Linked DNA regions of Lonchura striata. The protein of the gene in region 1 interacts with the protein of each later gene in a biochemical or structural test. Links are inferred from orthologs where the notes say so. Each region holds a gene or a part of one and is shown on either strand. Other genes may lie near its edges.

The links. The genes of interacting proteins can lie anywhere in the genome.
Region 2: the proteins of BMPR1B (region 1) and BMP2 form a complex in vitro, tested with the Homo sapiens proteins (3 studies listed by BioGRID and IntAct, with this or other methods). The link is inferred for Lonchura striata from reciprocal best matches to the Homo sapiens genes BMPR1B and BMP2.

Annotation. Positions count from the first base shown.
Region 1 is NC_134606.1:51,235,481-51,243,142, forward strand, and holds the start of BMPR1B (bone morphogenetic protein receptor type-1B), read right to left. Parts: upstream 3,010-7,662; 5' UTR 2,953-3,009; intron 1-2,952. UniProt on the Homo sapiens protein: On ligand binding, forms a receptor complex consisting of two type II and two type I transmembrane serine/threonine kinases.
Region 2 is NC_134605.1:24,945,064-24,952,221, forward strand, and holds the start of BMP2 (bone morphogenetic protein 2), read right to left. Parts: upstream 3,001-7,158; 5' UTR 2,866-3,000; intron 1-2,865. UniProt on the Homo sapiens protein: Growth factor of the TGF-beta superfamily that plays essential roles in many developmental processes, including cardiogenesis, neurogenesis, and osteogenesis. Induces cartilage and bone formation.

The DNA.
Region 1 (7,662 bases):
TCAAAAAGGCAATTTGCATATTAACAAACAGCACAGCCTGTGCCACACTCTATATTTTAGAAAAAGTTATTTAAAAAATATAGGAAGATTGTTGCTAACATCCTAAGGTAGTTACTTCTGTTTCTAAGCCACAAATCACCACATATACTTGCAGTTCCAAGCAGGAAACACCAAATATGATCACCTAGAGATTATGCAAATGTCACTACAAGTGATCTTGAAAACTCTCCTGAACAGCAGCAACAGGGGAAAGAATACACAGATGGGAAGCAATGCTACTAATCCATGTTTGCTATCTGATCTTTAGGAAAGCAGCAAAGATTGCACTGTGCAAGCTGCAGATTTTTACTTATTATCATTTAAGATGATATTGAGATTGAGGGGATTCAGAAAATGGAATTTAAATGAAACAGCAAGAGACAGCTCTGACCTCATGGATCTCTTAGATATGTTTAATAAATCACTGTCACTCCTGTTGCCTTTCCAAAAGAGAAGAAACACAAGTGCACCATGCAGTTGAGACAAAAATAGTGCCTGGAAGATAAAAATACCAGCTAGCCATTCTCACCTCAAGATCAAAGACTGCACCTGGATATTAAAATATAATTAGCATGTGCACATGCTATGCTTGCAGAAATCAGTGCCAAAACTATTCAGAGGTGCTGGTGCCCTTCTGACTGACTGGGTTTGTCTGTTCAGGAGTAAATGTGACATAACCCAAACTCAGCCTAAAGAGCATTTACTTCATAAATTTACTTCATGAATTACCAACTCCTTTCTAATTTCTGCTACATTGCTGTCATTCCCTTTTACTCTTCTTGTAAGAACAAATCAAATAATGTTGACAGTCACAAAACCAGAACTGTCATATAGCTGCTATGCTTATAAGCATACTATATTTTTAATGTTTGTGTTTGGGTTTTTTTTTTTTTTTCCCAAATTCTGGGGTTTCTTCGTTGCTTTTTTTTTCCCAAATTCTGGTCATATAACTTCTTTTAAATTCATTCTTCCCAAAACATGGGGATGATGATGCTTCCTGCCAATTCCCCTTCCAACTTTTCCTCAAGTGCCTGTCCATCTTCCAGAAGGACAGATTATTTGGTGTCAGAAAAAAAAAAAAAAAACTAGTATTTTTATAATTTTTCATGGATTAATGCTATCCGCATCCCAAAATCCCACGTGTTTAGGACACTCTCAGTAACTAACTGTTGTTGAATGAAGTGCTCAAGGATCTCCAGGAATTTTTCTGCCTGGAGGCAAATGCCACCCTGACAGGTCACCAGGCCAAGCAGAGTTTTAAGCAACTGAGCAAGTGACTGTATAAATTGCTGCCCTGTTACGCTGCCAAGGCAGGGACTGCATTGAACTGACTGCTGCTACTGTTGGCTTCACCACACACGCTGTGCAGGCATTTGAACTGCATGTGTGGAAACCATAACCATGAAGAAGATCTTTGTGTTCATGAATGAGGGCTGAGGCACAAACCTTATCATCTGCAAACACGGCTGAATGCCACAGAAAGTGTCATTGACTTACTCACTTTGATAGAAAACAAACAAATCCATTTAGAGGGGGAGGAAAGCATATCTACTGCAAACCAAAATTAATTGCACGTATGCAACAACAATAATGAATTTTGACCACAGACATAAGCACTACAGTTTTCCAGAAGTGTTTGAGCAGCCTAAAAGCATTTCCCTCTCTGAATGCTCCAGAGCTCATGTCTGGGCAGGAAGGGGGTGTATGCTACCCATGCCAATGACATTGCCACCAACCCATCAAGCAGTGCCCACCAACAGGCTTCCATGCTCAGTCACACACTCGGGCCTCTGTGAGTGGAAGAACCAGCCCTCAGCCCCACTGAGTCTGCTTGCATTGCTTTTTTTCCCAATGCCATACACATATATCTTCACACCTACACTTCATACACAACCTCAAAACCCAAGAAATGTGCACTGCAAACACCCTTGGCAAGATCACATCCCAGGTGCTCTTCTCCTCGACCAGAAGTTTTCAAGAGATGCATGACCACCTTTCTTTCATTCTCTACAGATTTCTCCACAATTCTATTCAAATGTAGAACTTTTTTTTCTCTGTGTCCAGCCAGATAAGAAAAGCAATGAGTAGGAGAAAAAGTACATGTGTTTTTATTATTTGGTTATTTTCCGGCTAACTAGCATTTGAAATGTATAGAACAGATGCAGCATTTTAAAAAGCATTACTGACATACACAAGCACTATATATCTACAAAGTTAGACAGAAGGTGACCATCACTAAGGCTAAAACCCATAACACCTCAGGCCCACAATGCAAATCTGGCACCAGAATTAGCCTATTACTACCCAAACATTTATTTTTAAATTAACTTCAAATCCAAAGGTTAATATAAAGAAGAAAAAGTGATTTTTCATCCTTTTAAGTTCAAGATCAGGCTGATTTCCAAGTACTAGTTCTAAAAATCTCTTTTTCCTCAATCCTCACCAAAAAGGGTAACAGGAAACTTTTGTTTTATCTGCAGTATTTTCTCTGTAAATCTATCACCTTTCTCATGAAATCTAAACCAACCAAAGTGCACCTAAAGGCTTGCATCAGGCTCCTGACGTTGTACAAACCCTGACCCCCAGTCCAAGTGAATGGATAGGAGATCTCCAGTGTGTGTCCCTGCAGGAGTCAAAGCTGCAAACACAAGACCTGCTGCCCCACATCTTGCCAGCACACCAGCAACACTTTATTCAGTCCCTCTCTGACCTTCCTGAAGAACCCACAGAACTTCTGTTTTACTTTTTTTTTTTCCCCCCCCAAGACTCTTAAGTGTTCCGCTCAAACCAGGCTTTAAAAAAAAACTAAAACAAAAATAAAAGAAAGAAAAAAAAGAAGAAGAAAAAGGGAAAGGTAAGGGTAGGGGAAGCACAAGTGCTTTGTGAGCTGAAAAGCTAAAGCCTTCTACTTACAGGGAGTTTCGGCGCGCTCGCTACATCGCTGCCAGATTCCCCGAGGATGAGAGTCATGCGAGGAGGCAGAGGGTGGCTCTGCTAAGCAAACACAGCACCGTAGGCTGGGCTAATCCTGCACCTGTGGCGGGTTATTCAGCAGCAAAGAAATGCAGTCCAGACTGCCTCTGCTTAATACGGCTCAGCTGTTTCCCTCTGAGCTCGCTTTGATTGTAAGCTGGCAAACAATATTATTCCAGCCAGGCGCAAAGGGGTATTCAGGCTGCATAGGATGTGACAGTAAAAAGGCAAAAGGAAAAGAAAATCCTGGAGTTACAAATCAAACAAAGATCCCGAGCAATACAGAATTTCTAACTCTTTCCAGATGGTTGGCAACACCTTCCAAGGTCAGTATATAAAATGCACGCTGAAGTTGGAGCATTCTGCTCCTCACCTCCCTTTAAAGTGGGACTACTTGTGATACAGGATACACCACAGTGGCCTGGCCCTCATTTACCCAATCCCATACATCTTTGCTGATGAGAGCAATCACAAGAAGGTTTTGATGGGGCTTTTAGGCTTCTTATGGTACAAAAAATGCCAATTGAGAACAGACTATGAGAAGAAATGGCATGCAACCAGCAATTTGGGATTTTTTTTCAGAGGAAGAGGAAGCAAAGAGGTCATGAAGTTGCTACTAGGATACATAGGTTTTATCATAGCACATCACAAAAAAAAAAAAACAAACCCCCACAAAACCAAACCAAATCACCAAGAAACAACAGCCAAAAAAAAAAAAAAACCACACCCAAACAAACAACAACAACAAAAAAAATTCAGAAAAAAATAAACCCAAAACTAAAACCAACAAAACAAAAAAACCCAGGAAACTTGATAATCTGCATCAAACACATAAAAATTTGGTCCCATCATGGAACAATAGCAAGAATTTCATTTCAAGGTAGAGTACACAGCCATTGAGAGCATTTTATGATCCTGATATTTGCTGAGCAAGCTGACTAACCATTATTAAAATTCCATTATTGTGATCCACACATATTTATATAAAACAAACCAGTATTATTTAAAAACAAAACCACATATATTATTATTTCAGATATTTGAAATAATTTAGTTAACTTAATCTGGTAATCCGGATTTATTCCAGATAATATGGTCATAAAATGCCACACCTCCCCTACATAACATCTATAATTTCCATGGTAGCATGTAAATGTCAGAAATTACCAACAGATGCTGTTACTAATGTTTCTTTCTGATATTGAGCTGTAAACATCAGACACTGCAGTCACAACACACTCCCAGCATTTGTACTGAAATGTTCTTCTCTACAAAATGATACTTCAGTTTCTGTCCCATCATTCCCTAATCTAATTCCACCTTTGGAAACTGGTGATGAAAAAAGAGATATCTGCATACTCAGAACTATGTATCAAATTTCTTGGTGGAAGGTTTATTGCAGCTGCTGTTTACCAATGGGATTATTTCCAAAGAAACAGGAGCTTTATTCCTATGAGAAAATGCTCATAAGTAATCTAGACCTATATGAACTTTCAACTGGTTTCTTACAGAAGAGCTAACTCTTCAAGATTCTGACTGAAACAAGTAGGATATGTAAATATCTGATTAGATAACAAAGTAAAATTAAGAAACAAGACTTTATACAACATAAAATCAAAATAAGAAAGCTGCCTCAAATTTCCTCTTTCAAAAAATTTGCATGTGGTTTTTTTTTCCAAATACTTAGTTCCTTTTTTGGAGCCTTACACATGCTGTTTTAAAGCTATCTGATACTAGCAGAGGCAATAGCTAAATTTTTCTTCCTCCATACTCTGGTTCGTTCCTGATTCATCCCTCATTTATAGAACTACCTGTAACTCTATCAAGACCACATCTACCAAGTGAAAAAAAATAGATAATGTCTAAATTTCTGCCAAAACAATGTGGAATCATGGTCCTGCTAGAAACTGCTTGGTGCTCCTGGCAGCAATCATGTTCCTCTCTTTAACTTTCCAACAGCATCCTGCTCCTTCTGCCTTGTAGCTCCTGGAGATCATTCATGGCCGTGTCCAAAAAAATCATCTTCAGAGTTTTAAGTAGTAAGCTCTAAGTAATTGCAAGTAGTCATAACTACTTACAACTTTTGAATTTGAAACTTCAAAACTTTTGAGTTTGCTTTCTTGTGGCTTTTGCAGTGCATGTGGTGTTACCCAGAATGTGTCTTGTACCAGCCTGCTGTTCTGCCAACACAAAGCTCAAACCTACTTTTAAGATAACCTGAAAACTCATACAAACAGTGAGAAGCATGGAAGCTGGAGCATAAACAAGACTGACATAAGTGTCTTTAAGTAGGAATAGCTTTCATATACAACCAGTCACACACCTAGTTGTTTACATTTAATTAGTTCTCAACACAGTGGACTAGATGGAGACACAGGATTTAGGGACATAGGCTGTTTTGTATATCACTAACTGAACTTCACCTAAAGCCAGCAAAAGCTTCCTGCTGAAAACAAACTTCCTCTTTGAAACCAGAACACTGTGCTGGCTGAAATACTTCAACAGTGATAACCACCTCACAACACCTGCATCTGCAATTTCCAATAAATACTCTTGCAAGTTAAAAAACTCAGGAAAAGGTCATATTGATGAGCTGACAGAATGTAGAAGAATATTAACCCCTCACACCATGAGGCATTGTTGCTCCTCATATTATTTTCATTTGATGCATAAGCAAGGATCTTTTGTTCCCAAGGTAATAATAATAGAGCACTACTGGTGGATGGTAAATCCACTTGACTGACCTTCCTTCCTTTCCCTTCTCTCTTCCCAGAGCATGCATTTAACTCTATTAAAAAGGAAAGCTTACCACTCTCCATTCACAACTAAGCCAAAGGTCAGGAAAATGTAAAAATAAAATAAAATAAAATAAAATAAAATAAAATAAAATAAAATAAAATAAAATAAAATAAAATAAAATCTTTCTTTCATCAAGAAATTTAAATGTCATATAAAAAGGCCTAGAACAAAATACAGTAATTGCCAGCTGCCTAATTATTTTCTCATCCTCTTCCAGGCTTCAACACAATGCCTTTGTTAGGCTGCCTGCCAGTGATATTTGGGACATTAAAATGCACCAAATTTCTGCAAAGACTTTGTGTTCCAAAATGTGCTCTGATGGGCAAAACTGAAGCAAATATAAGAGCAATCTGATATTATTCACCTTAAATGATGAGGGAGGGGAGAATACTGTGTGCTGTCAACTCCCCCTCAGGTTTGTATGAATATTCCTAGAAGAGTTAAGTAACAGGAGAGGTTAGAGGTGGCCAAGGACAAATTTTGGTTCCCAATTAACACTACAGAGCCATGAAAGCCTTGTCTAGCAGGCGCCATCACATACAAACTATCCTCCCACTGCACAGGGCCCTTGCTCTCTACAGAGTTCAGTGTCTCCTGGCTTGCTCTACAGTGTAAGCAGAGGGATCATTAGTTATGACTAGTAGAGTCTAGGAGATAATGTTGACTCTCATTTCAGGAACTATTAAGCTATAAACACTGCGCTGAAAGCCATTTATCTGCATTTTAAGATAAACAGAGAAGCTATTCAATTAAGTAGACTGCAAAAAATAAGCTACAGATGCCAAATCGAACAACTTTTAAACTCCAAAAGAGAAAATCCTTGCATTAATAAGCACAACTTTATACCAAGAAATTACTCACATGGAAGTTCATAAGCAGCACAGCTTAACCACCCCACCATGTCTGATTAAAAAAATACAAATCAAAGTGTAATTACAAAACAGTTAAATTCAAGCAATGTAAATTACATGCACTTAAAATCTGCAAGTTCCTACCGCAGCCACCAGTGACGGTGTACAAGGTAAAGTGGCAATTTTAATACAGCAGTATTTACATTTTATCTCCACATTGCTAGAGTTTGAAAATGAGATACTATTCCAGACTCCACAAGCGAGATAAATGCCTAAACTGTCATGTTCGAATCTGTACTTGCTAAGGAGAACATTCTTCCTGAGATAAGCAAAAGAGTATGAAATTAATTTCTCAAATCTTGCCAACCAACCAGATTTTTTAACCGAGTATTATTCATCTTTTCACCTTTTTGAACATATCAGTATGAGATCTTTAAGATAGTAGGTTAAAAAAAAAAATTAAAATAAAAAAAACCAATCTCAAACCACTAAAAAGCATACCCACTAAATAGTTTGTAGTATCCTTTAAAAAGATGTAACATACACGGTATTCTAAGCTTTAAAAAAAAAAAAAAAAAAAAAAAGATTATTTTTCCCCTCCCAAAAAAAAAAAAAAAAAAAAAAAAAAAAAAAATTAAAAACCTGATCTTTCCCTGCACTTCCAGATGCCAGAGATTTTCAAGCCAGCTCTGAGGTCAGACAGGGGAACACACAGGTGCACCATGCATCGGCAGCTGAAAGCTTGCAAGATTGTGCCGGAATTTGATCTGCCCCCTCTCCCCGCATTCCTGCCGGCATTATAAACGCTCCCTGAAGGAATTATACCCTAATACGGACTAATTTTCCACAAACAGCCCCAGCCTCATTAAACCTCTTCTTTATCACCATTGTTCAAAGCAGTTTTTCTGGTAAGATATTGAACTCTCCTACGCCCATCTAAAGAGAAAAGAAACGCCTTTTATTTTCTCTCCAGTATCGTTTCTCCTACTCAGGTCCACTG
Region 2 (7,158 bases), on another chromosome or scaffold:
GTAAGTACAACTGTTATATTTAAAGCATCTAAAAAGGATGAAGAATGATTTAGGGTACTATTAATATGAGCAATTTTAAACTGAAGAGGTCAGACAAAGGTGAGTCTATTTATCTTAAAAGCTTCCATTCAAACAGCCTCAATCCAGCATCAGATAATATCTCAGAGTGTCACTCCAGCTGAGAACCAGTATCCTAAAGAAAATAACAGCATGTAATCAGACAATAATTTTGAACCCAGCTTTTCTCACTCCTGTTTTGGAAAGGATAGTACCAAATCCTATGTTAGACTTTGGGATTCTTCCTTCACTTGGTCCTACAGCTGAGATTACAATTGCAAGACATTCCCATCAGACATGACAGAATCCACAAGAAACACCCCCCAAAGAATGCAGACTCAACTCACTGGCCACCATTTGATGTAATGCTGTCTCTTGTAGTCTTTAACTTTTATGTACTCAGTCAGGCATTAACAACTTTTAACTCAAATTTTACAACCTCACAGGAGGTGCTTGGGCTCCAAGGGTAAAAAAGGAAAATGTATTTCCTTTAATTAACCATGCAGATACATATTTAGGAGGAAAGTTTTCAAGATTAGCTTGGTACCATCTCCCTGTAGCCCTGACTTACAAGCGCACAGAAAAGGTAAGGATTCCTGAAAGTCTTACACCATGTAATAGATATGATGACCAAGCCACCATTTTTGAAAAAGCCTAAAAGACAGTCTAAATCATCATATGTTTTTTACTCTGTTTTGCAACCACCAGACTGAGGGAAGGTAAAAAGGCTGAATAGTAGGATGAATTCATCCTTGGTCATGAAAAATAGTTCTGTTTGCAACTCTAGCTTTTCAAAGCTTCATTGCTTCAGCTGAAAGCATCATGAGAGAGGTCTGTGTCACCAATCAGCTGTCTGGTGAACATGCTCACTGTTATGGTCCTTTTTGGTCAGTTCCTCTTGAGTCTGCTCTGATCCCTCCCTCTCACCCTTCTCAGTTCCCCCTAGGGAGGGGGTTTTGGTAGCAATGTTAAATGACTCACCCTCTGCACCAGGCAGGGAAGTATTTCACTATGTGGTGCTTTTCAAGCATGAGCCAGCCAGAGTCAGAAAGCAGACTTTAAAAACCCCCAGAAGTCCCAACACCCAGAGGGTGGGAACACAGACACCCTTAGTGAGCCTGACTCATTATGGGTCAGTGCTGTCTGTTCTGTGCCCAGGGGCACCCCAGTGCATCAGTTTCAGACCTCATTTCAGATCTGCAACAGCAGCTTCAACTCTTCTAAACCAAGAAAATGAGGGACTTTTATTGTTCCTCTTAATCCAGGTTCCACTTACAGGATTTAGATTTTTCTCTTACACGAACTGAATTTTTCCAAAGCTTCAGATATTTAGATAATGGCTGTTGGTGTCACCAACCAGCACTACAGCCAAGGGATACCAAAGGATAAAGTATTGCCACCTCCCACTTGTGGACATTTATCAGAGTGCAGATTTTCAACATGAAGACCCTGTGTGGTACAGATCAGCTTTTCTCAAGAGCTTTGTCAGTAGTGCCTGGTGCTCATGCCAGGGTTTGCATTGATTAATTTCTTTGTCAGTGAAGGGGGGGGACACAGAGAGACACACTTTACTTCTTTGCCTACAAGTGGAATATTTCGCACAACAAAAACCATCTGTCTACCAAGCATAGATTTCAGAAATCACATCACAAAATAACAAGTTTTCCATGATGGGAGAGGGCGCCACTCTTTTACATCTCCCCTCCTTGGTTTTGATGTCAGTACATGAAGATGCCCACTGACCAGCTACAGGATATAAGAACACAACACTGACATTCTCTGCTCAGCTTTAGTCCTCACCTACAATCTAAGCCCTCAGTTCAAGCACCAACAGTAGCTTCTTCAAAGCTTTAGTAAACTTACATGTGCCAGGAACTCACAGGAACATTAAAATATTATACAAACTTCTTTATATAACTTCTCCTACACTGAGAACTTACCAATTGCCCTCCTAACTCTTGGCACTCCCACAAGTAATTCCTTGTTAAAACTGAAGTTAATGAGTGTCTAAAGAGACCTGGGAGAAATGCAGCACTTGCAACAAGTCGCTGCTGTTCCCCATCCCCCCATGGTTCTGCTCTAGATCTGCTTTTGCCACAGCCTGGCAAACCCCAAGTGGGAAATGCTGCTTTGGGAGAAGGAGGAAGCAGTACAGCTATTGCATGGAAACACAGAGAATCTAAGTAAGGCAAGTTTGAGAGGAATGGGAATTCGGAAAACACATGCATCCACAAACTGGGGTGATCTCACCCAAAATTAAATACTGAGCATTTTTTCTTCCTATAGTTAAGGAAAAATCATAACAGAAATAAAGAGGCCTATGAAAAAAGAGAAGACATTCCTCCAGACGGTGCATTAACACAACAATTGGGCCAGTCTTACATGATTACATCATCACTTGGTGATAATTTATAACACTGGCCTAAGAAAAGCTTTTAAAAGTATATTGGAAGAAAAAAATACACATTTTACCAAAAAATCAGTATTTATTATTCTGTCTTTGTCATGTTACTTCCTCATGCTCCCAAAAACATATATTTGTCTACTAAGACACTCTCAGCTAGAGGTGTTTAGTAGACCCTTTGGAAAAGGGATCAAACTCTAAACAGATCACATTCAGCCTTAGCTGAGTAACCCCAAGAATAAATTAACACTACCTATATTCCAGCAAACTTTATTCCTGACTAAAGGAGGCTTTTATGATATAAACTGTTAAGAAGCTACAAATGCACGTTCCATTTCCTGTCCTTTTCCATGGGAACTCTGGAAAAGAAAATTTATTACTAAATTACAGTTTTCCCCACTCACCTCTGACAGGATGAGGGTATTACAGGTCTTCAAATCTGATTTCCTCAGCCCCTTGAGAGATGACTGAAAATGAAAACACCGCCTCCAAAGCATTCCCTAATTTGCAACTCTTCAGATGTAAACCATCACTGCCTCAGATGCTGGGGGTTTGATCAGTGTCAACTGAAAACCCACCTATTTTCTTGCAATACTTTCTGTTAGATTCACAGAGAGCTTACCCCCCACCTCTTTGTCTTCTGTCTTTTTTCCAGATCATTTTTTCTTCATCCAGCAAGTGCATTTCCTCTCCAAGGGATCTGGCAGATAGGCGACAGATTTTTCCAGCAGTCCAGATGGAACATGAGCCCCATCCCTCTTGGCACAGCAGGACTAGGCTGACATCAAACTCTACAGTCTCTTCTCTCAAGTTAGCTCACAGGCAACTGGAAAGGGAAATAACGCTCACACTTAAAAGAGGTCAGAATTGGGACCAGCATGGAGATAAACATCAATGTTTATTGACTGGCCTGGCAACCTTCTTTGCTTTTATTGATTATCTCCCAAGCGCCATTTTTCCCAATTTGGTCAAAAGTTTGTGATTTTTCTTTATTTGTTTAGAGAACAAAAAAAAAAAAAACACCCAAGAATATGTTCCTGAGGTCACAGCAACAGCAGGCTTGGTTGTTCACTAACCAATTCACACCTGAATGTTACATTACCCCATGGTCCATAAATATTTATTTGCTCATCTACAGAGGTATGTTTATTTAAATAATAATAAGCAGGTAGCTTACCCAACTGTCCTACAAAGAGCTAAAAAGACAGTGTCAAGCCAGTGCCAAGGAGCAGCAAAAGTAGAGTTACTCCACATGACCCCAAGAACAAAATGCCCCTCAGCCTGAGCTTAAGTAGAATGCCTGAAATTGGTCCCGGCTGGGTCTGGCTGAGGTTATTAAAGGCCTCAGTGTGCCCTCAGGTGATAGAAGGCTCTGAAAGTCTTCATGAGCTTTGGAGTTCCTGTCTCCAAGGATGTCTGATACGACAAGTGCATGCATAGACAATCTAAAGAGATAAGCATCATCAGAGTAGCTCAGGGAGCAAGCCTAGGGGAGCAAATATCCTGTGATACTATCTGTGGTTTGACAACTTCACAGCTGCATAGTTCTCATGAGAGTAACTATTTGCTGCCCATAGTGTGTCAAATATTCATACTTTGTATCTCTGCAGTCTTTTTCCAGGATATGAGTTTTATCTGAAATAATTTTGTCCTTTATTCTCTCTGTTTCTCTTTTTCATAGATATGGTTTTTCCACTGTGCTTCACCTCATCACTGTACCACCGTGTAAGTCAAAAGTTTAAGGCAAGAAAGACTTTCTGTGGAAATCTGGCTCATGGAAAAGCTTTTGCCCCTTTCCTCTCAGTTCAATCCACGCCTCTTCTAACACATCTCCACCTCACAAACTTTCTGTTCTTTGCCATTGCACCCTCGGAACCGATTTTCTCCGGGTAGCCTCAAACCTCTAAAAGCAGCAGCTGAAGCTGCCCGGCAGCCTGGGGTCATCGATGAGGTGGTGACTCTGGGGGGTATGCGAGCGGGTGACCCTGAGCACCGCCGGGCGGACAGCGCTCCTCGCCGCCTTACTCCCACCGCGCGCTGTTGGAGGGAAGGGGAAGGAAGGGCCGCCCTCCCGGGCTCCACTCCTCCCCCCGCTGTTTCTCCGAGGCAAGGTAGCGGCGTAGGGCGCGGAGGAGAGGGAAGCGCTGCCGGCGGGGACGGCAGGTGAGGAGCGCGGGGCGCCCGCGGGGAGCGCGGGGCGATGCCGGAGCGACCCCAGCACGGGGCACCCGCGGGCGGCTCTGCGCTGCCCCGCGGCACCTGCGGCGGGGCGGGAGTGCCCGACTGCCCGGGCTTGTTGCTTTTACAGCCCTTTCCGCGGGGCCGCGGCTGCCGGTACTTCCTTAAAGTAGAAGTGGCGCTACCGTGGGCGCCGCAGGCCGGGCCCCCGGCACCCTCCGAGCTGCGCCGGGCACCGCCAGCCTGAGAGATATTTCGGGACCTTCTTGATCTTAACCCCGCGTCATTAGCACCTTGCTCCAGCACGATTCACATCTTTCTCCGTTCCCGCTCAGCGTTAGAAGTTTGGGGCTGTGAGTGCTAAAATCTGCGGAGAGCTCGATCTGCAGAAACTGCTGATTTTCAGTGCGCTGCAGAAATGCCGAGTGGAGACAGCAGTAGCCTGAGGACACGTTTCTGGCCTGTTTGATCTACCCGTGCCAGGCCTTGCAGCTCCCACGTGGAGCCCAGGAGCTGGGGCGCGTTCCCGAGCAGATCCAGGCTTGACCTGAAGGCTGTAAGATGTAAACCCTGTCGGTTTGGGTTTGGTTGGGGTATAATAATGAGGGGTTCGTCGTCCTCGTTGCTTTCCTTGCCCCGTTTTCGAGACCAGGCTTTGTTTGTGCTGCGTACTCCGGTAGATTTGCAAGTGTTTGTGTTGCCTTATCTTCAAACTGAAACCTCCTGGTTAGAAGAGGAAGTGGGGAGGTGCGCGGCTTCAGGGAATGATGGAGTGCCAGGAGTAGTGCACTGGGGCCATGGTTTTCCATGCTGGTGAAAGAAAGGGTTTCACCCACCCCTTAGGCTGCTGCTCATTTTCACCCGCATCAGCACAGGCTTTGTGTGCAGAATTAGATTGGGAAGTGAAACCTAATCTAAAGACGCCCCAAAAAAATCCAGATCAATTCCTAAATGTTTTCGCTGGCCCAGGAGGGCAGATGAGACAGCTGCTTTTCTGCAACAATAATGGTTTATAGTGGAACAAAGTTTATAGTGGAACAAGGGTGGGCAGAAGTAGAATTCATCTGCTGGACTGCACACCTGTGCTCCTGAAATAAAATCCCAAAGTTGTCATCCTTTGGCCATGGATTACTTTTGAAGTTGTTTATTTATTCTTAGGAGCATAACTAGGGGCATTTTGACTTTCCTAAAGTCAGGGCTTTTGTTTTGTTATGAGGTGCACAACGACAGCTGTCCTGTGCACCTTGTACTGCACTTGTGCTAAAAGCCTCACCTGCCCAGAGACCGTCTCGGGAGCTGGGTCTTGGAATTTTTAGGAAAGCCACAGCTCTTCCCCTCCACGGGTACCCCCTGGTCTAGTGCATACCTAAGCTCGTAAATCATGTGGCACACAGCAGCACAAATTCAAAATCCTTTATCCCAGAGGCAGGAAAGGCAGTGTTCCCAGTGTCCAATATAATGCCTTTATTTACCAAGGCAAGCAAGCAAATTTCTTGGATAAGTACCAGCCCTTGTTGGTTTAGTAACTGTTTAGTGTAAAGGTGTAGGCTGGCACATGTAAGAACCCAGTTAACAACAGGGCTTGCTCCATAGGGTGAGTTGGCCTCTTCAAGTCACACAGTTATGAAGCTGTAGTTTTGCGACTTAGGGCTCTGTGTGTGTGTGTGTGTGTGTGTGTAATTTTGGAACTTCAGGGCAGACTCCCAGCTCCTTCCCAGTGAAACTCACTGGTAAGGTGATTTCCCACTAAAATGATGGCTTTGAGCTGGTCAGATTATTCATTTATAATGTCATTTGTTTAAGGGGAAATCCATTTAATCTTTAATGTATACATTTTCATTGCCTTTATGTTTGTCGTTACCACCTCATCTCTATTATCCCTTTAATGACAAATTTTATATCAGCGGCATTGACATCAGGTATTACATTACTAAATACTTATTTTTAAGAAGATCTACAACAGCCTGTAACATTGCTTCATCCCTTCTGGCATAGTTATTTGCTATGTTAAAAGCAGTCTGAGTAGGGCCCCTTCAACAAGAGGCTGTGAGCTGGGTTCTCGTGTGTTGTTGAAAGTTAACAATAAAAGGAATTCATCCATTTTAGTGCCTACACCTCAACTGGAAAGGCCTTTTTCAGGACAGAGAGCTGTCTCACTGTTTATATATCACAAATCCTGCCTGCACCATCAGTTACCTTATATCTACAAGCTATTTCTTCAGCAGAACCCAGCTGATGTTAACCAAAGCTTCTACTTGGAGCGTCTCCTCTAGTTTGGCTTGGCATGATTACTGTTCACCTGTCCTGGCAGGAGCCTAGTGAGATCTCAGACGATTCACCCTGCTGAGAAGGACACATGCCTACATCCCTGTGCAAGTCAGCAAGAACTGCAGATCTGTGTCTGGATAATGCTGGCAGAGAGCCACTAAAGTTGTCTCCCCTTGCATGTACTCAAATAGGTAAAGCTACTCTCTGGATATGGTCCTGTGGGAGAAAGCTGGCAGAACTGCAAATGTAAA